2 linked regions of the Danio rerio genome follow. The protein of the gene in region 1 interacts with the protein of each later gene in a biochemical or structural test. Links are inferred from orthologs where the notes say so. Each region holds a gene or a part of one and is shown in the gene's direction. Other genes may lie near its edges.

Region 1 (3,659 bases):
ACTAAAAACAGAAGTAAGTATGGAGCCGTGGTGGCACAATAACATGATTGGTTTATTAATGTGTCTGTAACTTTTACATTGTAATGATTATTTAAATGTGGGACAACCAGGAGAGTAATTTCTTCTGGAGACTTCAAAATCCCCCCTGTATTAGGCTTAGACAATCATATAGTTTGTTTTAATATTATTATTAACATATGAAGAGTTTAGATGCAAAAACCTATAAGTGCCGTCTGAAATGTCCATCAAAAATGAGCATTTTTGTCAGCCTCCTTTGTTTATGTTGAGATATTTCACTTTAAAGACCATAAAAAGGAATTACTATTTGCCATAAAAGTGATACTACTAAACCCACACACAGGAGCCTGATCAAAACGCTCACTCTAAAACAAAATTTCAGACGGCATTTAGAGGTTTTTGCATCTGAACCCTTCATATTATTATATTTTACAGAATACACCTGTTGATGTTAGTCTAATGGTTTGTGCTGCACAGAAAATGATCATAAAGGGGGTTTATGCATGAAAGACATTTAATAATGATCAATATTTTCATATCATTTGCCTACATATTAAGTTTGCTGCTGAGATATGCTTTGCATATCTTATATATTATATTAGTAATTGATATTACAAAATAGTTCATAATTTATTTACATGTAATTTTGAATTAAACTTGTTTAATCTGCCTAATTGTTTCCTGGGTTTTTTATCACCATGTTCCATAAATGTATGTTAATACAGGAAATGAGATTTGAATTGAAAAAATATCCCGCATTTTGTGTGTCCCCCATCCCCTTCCATCCTCTTCCAAAAACCAAAATAGGGTATATGCACAGCTAGATTTGATACTCTTCCGGTGAACAGTTAATGTGACCTTTTTCAATTCATATGGTCCCTATTACAGAATCGATGTTGTAATCTAAATAAAATACACTCACCAGCCACTTTATTAGGTACACCTGTCCAACTGCTTGTTATCACACATTTTGAATCAGCCAATCACATGGCAGCAACTCAATGCATTTAGACATGTAGACATGGTCAAGACGATCTGCTGTAGTTCAAACCGAGCATCAGAATGGGGAAGACAGGGGATTTAAGTAACTTTGAACATGGCATAGTTGTTTGTGCCAGATGGGCTGGTCTGAGTATTTCAGAACCTGCTGATCTACTGGTATTTTCACATACAACCATCTCTAGGGTTTACAGAGAATGGTCTGAAAAAGAAGAAAATATCCAGTGAGCACAGTTCTGTGGGCACAAATGTCTTGTTGATGCCAGAGATCAGAGGAGAATGGCCAGACTGGTTCGAGCTGATAGAAAGGTAACAACAAAGGTAACAACAGTAACTCAAATAACCACTTGTTACAACCGAGGTATACAGAAGAGCATCTCTAAACGCACAACACGTCAAACCTTGACGCGGATGGGCTACAGCAGCAGCCACTCCTTTCAGCTAAGAACAGGAAACTGAGGCTACAATTCACACAGGTTCACCAAAACTGAACAATAGAAGATTTGAGAAATGTCACCTGCTCTGATGAGGCTCGATTTCTGTTGCCACATTCGGATGGTCAGAATTTGGCCTCAACAACATGAAAGCATGGATCCATCCTGCCTTGTATCAGTGGTTCAGGCTGCTGGTGGTGGTGTAATGGTCTGGGGTAGATTTTCTTGGCACACTTTGGGTTTATTAGTACCAATTGAGCATGGTGTGTGAGTATTGTTGCTGACCATGCCTATCCCTTTATGAGCATGAGTGTCTCCATCTTCTGATGGCTACTTCCAGCAGGATAAAACGCCATGTCATAAAGCACCAATCATCTCAGACTGGGTTCTTGAACATGACAATGAGTTCACTGTACTCAAATGGCCTCCACAGTCACCAGAGCTCAATCCAATAGGGCACCTTTGGGATGTGGTGGAAAGAGAGATTTGTATAATGGATGTGCAGCTGACAAAGATTTCAATATGGACAAACATCTCTGAGGAATATTTCCAGTACCTTGTTGAATCTATGCCACGAAGTATTAAGGCAGTTCTGAAGGCAAAAAAGGGGTCCAACCCGGTAAATGTGTACCTAATAAAGTGGCCGTTGAGTGTATAATTAGTTAAATAGACATCAGCATTCAAGCTTAAAACGAGATGAAAAGCTGTTTACACGCACATGCCCATCAGGATCAGGTCAGCATTAGCAGGCGAGCACAGAAAGTCTGTTAAAATATACTGAGGTAAAATACATTTTCATATTTTAAAGACATGGCGTGGGAAAATGTAATTTAATGCAGTGCTTCCTGCTCAATCTGAGACCGACTTTATATCGTATACCAATCAGGCAGTGAAGATGGTTGATTTTTAAAGTAAACAGACCTTAAACTCGCAAATTTTGTAACAGCATACAGTTCACCGGAAACATCTGACCCAGGTTACTGAAAAATGTAAAGTCCTTCTGTATACTTCTGCATATACCCTATTAAACCATTGTGTGAAACCAACTTGAATTCACCATATATGTTTGTTTACTATGCAACTTTTTTTTTCTAAAATTAACATAGAACAAAGATGGCGGTTTCTTGGTGAGAGACTCTGGCAAATTCACTGGAAAATACACTGTTTCTGTGTTCACCAAGGCTGGAGGGTGAGTTTGATCAAGTTACACATTTGTTTCACTGTTAACTTATCGAAATGAAAGTGGAAAACTGACCCAGCCGGAACAGCGATATCAATCCCTCCATGCAAAGTAGGAAAAGTCACGCTGTGTAAATTGTCACGAGATTGTTATTGTCGCTCTCTCAATTGCCCTTTGTAAGATGAACGGTGACCTGAGTTGATCATGTGGGTATGAATTTACAATAAGACCATACATTTATAATGCACAAACAGTATTTATTCATCTTTGTTAAGTCAGTTAATGGGAGATAAAGTTGATCACTGTTAGCTCACGGTGCATTAACTAATGTTAATTAGCTTTAATATGGATTATAATAATGCATAAGTAAGAGTTTAACTATAATTTATATGCTTTACAGGTGTTGTTCATTAATAGTTCATGTTAGTAAATATATTTAATAAGCTTACTGTAAAGTGTGAACTTCATTTCTGGTCTTGCAGGGAGACTTCTGGCAGCTGCAGACACTACAACATACTGCTCACTGCAGACGGCCAGTTCTATCTAGCGGAGAAGCACAACTTTACCAATATCCCAGAGCTTATTAATTACCATCAGCACAATGCTGCAGGTAAATATCACCTCAGTCTTGGGTAGCATCACTCAGAGGGGCCATTTTTCAATAGGCAAGGCAGGTAAGGCCTTGACAATGACAGTCCATAAAGCCCCGTTCAGACTGCATGATTTTTATTGTTAGCTACAGTCACTGTGTCAGATTTTGACTAGATAAAATCTTGACGTTTGGTGGGTACCAAATATGCAAATGACTTCGCAATCAATCACCGTGTGACCACTGCGACACGCATGCTGTTATCAAGAAGCTGCATGAATAACAAATCATAGCACATCCGAATGCTAAATGCTAATGAGTTTTCCCTTGTGTGTGTTTTCTGAAGAAAACAGTAGATGAGTAGTTCATTCTGTGCCAGTAAACAGCAAAACAGTTTCCCATCATCGATTGTTAACAATGCAGGGTTTTTTCAGTTTTA
Region 2 (3,659 bases), on another chromosome or scaffold:
AGCCCCCTTAAGAGATAATGATGTTTGGTTGTCTACAGAACAAACTATCATTATACAATGACTTCCCTAATTACCCTAACCTGCCTAGATAACCTAGTTAAGCCTTTAAATCTCTAATAAAATAAAATAAAATGGATTTCAATATTATTTTTATTATTTTAAATGTAATTTATATATATTATTTATTTTATTTTTATTTTTGATATATTTTTTAGTGCTGGGCAATGATTAATTGTGATTAACCATAACCAAAATAAAAGTTTGCTTTGAAATAAAATGTGTTTATATACAGTTGAAATCAAAATAAATTGGCCCTCTTGTGGTATTTTTTTCCACTCTTTTAAATATTTACAAGATTTTGTCCAAACAGAGCAAGGAATTTCTCATAGTATTTCCTATATGTATTTTTCTTCTGGAGAAAGTCTGATTTGTTTTATTTCGGCTACAATAAAAGCAGTTTTTAATAAAAAAAAAACAGTTAAGGTCAATATTATTAGCCCCATTAAGCTATATTTAGTTATTATTATCTAAAAAAATAGTTTTTGTATGTAGATATAAAATATATGTTTATATAATACAAAATCTACTGTATATACACATTTAAATATCTATGTAACAAATTATTTTGTATAGTTCTGTTTCTATAAACAAATTTTTATTTTGGTTATGATTAATAATGAATAATCATTGCCCAGCACAAAAATAATTTTATAAAATACATAAAATGAAATAAAATAATATATAAATTGAATAAAATTTTAATAAATAAAATAGAAATAAATCTTTAAATATATATATATATATATATATATATATATATATATATATATATATATATATATATATATTTATCATAGATTAAATAAAATAAAACATTTAAATTAAATCAAAATAAATTTAAATGAAAATTAAATTTAAATTAAATTAGATAGAATGCAGAAAGAAAAAAAACAGTTATTAATTTTTTATAAACCATTTTAAAGTCAATATTATTAGCTCCCTTAAGCAATATTTTTTTCGATAGTCTACAGAACAAACCACTGTTACACAATGACTTGCCTAATAAATCTAACCTGCCTAATTAACCTAGTTAAGCCTTTAATGTAATTTTAATCTGAATACTAGTATCTTGAAAAATATCTAGTCAAATATTATGTACTGTCATCATGGCAAAGATAAAATAAATCAGTTATTAGAACTGAATCATTAATGATATCTTTAGAAATGTTGAAAACAATCTTCTCTCCGTTAAAAAGAAATTGGAGGGGAAAAAAAAGCTCATTTTTGTGCTCCAATTGATTCTTAATCTGTTCTTCATTCACAGCCTGTATGAAGTGCCCTCGATCTCTGCGTCCTCCTTCTCCCAGCACCTCCAGCGACTACTTGCCGAAGCTGATGAGACTGACAACATCCACGACATCACCCTTCAGGCTGGCGATCGCACCTTCCCCGCTCACAAATACATTCTGTCTGTTCGCTCCGACTTCTTCCGGAAAATCCTGTTGCCAGAGGCCGAGAGAGAGGGTGATGGAGAGGTGAGGCGGGGAGAGGACGCGGTGGGCTGTGACCTGTTGGTGCTGGAGAAGATTCCCCCGGAGCTGCTGGAGCAGGCGCTGAACTTCATCTATACTGACTCCTGTGATATGCTGGTGGATGGGGCCTGTCCCATCATTCCTCGCTGCAACCGGAGCTCCAAGCCGGAACCTGAGGAAGTGCTAGAGCCTGAGTCAGAGCAGCTCATCCACAGTCTGCAGGTTCTGGGTCTGGAGAAACGCTCCGCTCTAGATGTCTACCGCTCTCTTCCAGTACAGATGCGGAAGGAAGCAGAAAAGCCGAAAACAGCAGGCAAAAACAACAAATCTGGGAAAAAAGTAAAAAATGTTGCTGAAAATGGACAAAACCCTGTGAAGATGCTGCAGGGAGTCGCCAAAAAACTGGGCCTAGGGAGTCTGTCAGCACGGTAAACATATTTTATTTATTTAATATATAATCTTTTTTTAAAAATCATTTTTCGTATGTATGTACAGTGCATCCGGAAAGTGTTCATAACGCTTCAATTTTTCCAAATTTTTTTATTTTACAACCTAATTGCAAATTGGATTAAATAATTTTTTTCCTCAATTCTACATGCAATCCCCCATAATGACAGTGTGAAAAAAAGTTTTTGAAATTGTTGCAAATTTATTAAAAATAAAAAAACCTGAAAAATCACATGTACATCAGTATTCTCAGCCTTTACCGTGAAGCTCTAAACTGAGCTCAGGTACATTCTGTTCCCACTGACCACTCTTGAGATGTTAAAGCAGCTTAATTGGAGTTCACCTGTGGTAAATTTAGTTGATTGGACATGATTTGAAAAAGCATACACCTGTCTATATAAGGTCCCAGAGTTGACGGTGCATGTCAAAGCACAAACCAAGCATGAAGACAAAGGAATAGACCTCGAGGCACAAGGCTGGGGAAGGTTACAGAAACATTTCTGCTGCTCTGAAAGTTCTAATGAGCACAGCAGCCTCCATCATCCGTAGGTGGAAGATGTTTAACCACCAGGACTCTTCCTAGAGCTGGCCGCCCATCTAAGCTGAGTGATCAGGGGAGAAGGGCCTTAGTCGGGGAGGTGATCAATAACCCGATCATCACTCTGGTTGAGCTCCAGCGTTCTTCTTTGGAGAGGGAGACCTCACAGAAGGATAACCATCTGTGCAGCAATCTACCAATCAGGCTCGTATGGTTGAGTGGCCAGACGGAAGCCACTCCCCGCCTGGAAATTGCCAAAACGCATCTGAAGGATCCTCAGACCATAAGAAACTAAATTCTCTGCTCTGATGAGACTAAAATTGAACTCTTTGGAGTGAATGCCAGATGTTACATTTGGAGAAAACCAGGCAGCGCTAATCACCAGGCTAAAACCATCCCTACAGTGAGGCATGGTGGTGGCAGCATCATGCTATGGGGGTGTTTTTCAGCAGCAGGAACTGGAAGAATAGTCCGGATAGAGGGAAAAATGAATGCTGCAATGTACAGAGACATCCTGAATGAAAACCTGCTTCAGAGCCCTCTTGAACTCAGACTGGGGGGACGGTTCATCTTCCAGCAGGACAATGACCCAAAGCACACCACCAATATATCAATGAAGTGGCTTCACAACAACTCGTTGAATGTCCTTGAGTGGCCCAGCCAGAGCCCAGACCCAAATCTTATTGAACATCTCTGGAGAGATCTGAAAATGGCTGTACACCGTCACTTCCCATTCAACCTGATAGAGCTTTAGAGGTACTGCAAAGAGGAATGGGCAGAAATAGACGGGTGTGTCAAGCTTATGGCATCATATTCAGAAAGACTTGAGGCTGTAATCGCTGCCAAAGGTGCATCAACAAAGTATTGAGAAAAGGCTGTGAATACTGATGTACATCTGATTTTTCAGGTTTTTTATTTGTAATAAATTTAAAACAATTTCAAAAACTCTATTTTCACATTGTCATTATGGGGGATTTTGTATCGAATTTTTAATGAATTTAATCAATTTTGGAATAAGGCTGCAACATAAAACATGGAAAAAGGGAAGCGCTATGAATTCTTTCCGGATGCACTGTACATGCATGCCTGTGTGAATTTATACATTCATAATCAATACACACAGTACACACACTTAAGTTATG

The links. The genes of interacting proteins can lie anywhere in the genome.
Region 2: the proteins of btk (region 1) and ibtk form a complex in vitro, tested with the Homo sapiens proteins (2 studies listed by BioGRID). The link is inferred for Danio rerio from reciprocal best matches to the Homo sapiens genes BTK and IBTK.

What each region holds. Positions count from the first base shown.
Region 1 is NC_133189.1:43,499,584-43,503,242, reverse strand, and holds part of btk (tyrosine-protein kinase BTK), read left to right. Parts: coding exon 1-13; intron 14-2,557; coding exon 2,558-2,640; intron 2,641-3,113; coding exon 3,114-3,241; intron 3,242-3,659. UniProt on the Homo sapiens protein: Non-receptor tyrosine kinase indispensable for B lymphocyte development, differentiation and signaling. Binding of antigen to the B-cell antigen receptor (BCR) triggers signaling that ultimately leads to B-cell activation.
Region 2 is NC_133191.1:5,078,745-5,082,403, forward strand, and holds part of ibtk (inhibitor of Bruton tyrosine kinase), read left to right. Parts: intron 1-1,324; coding exon 1,325-1,960; intron 1,961-3,659. UniProt on the Homo sapiens protein: Acts as an inhibitor of BTK tyrosine kinase activity, thereby playing a role in B-cell development. Down-regulates BTK kinase activity, leading to interference with BTK-mediated calcium mobilization and NF-kappa-B-driven transcription.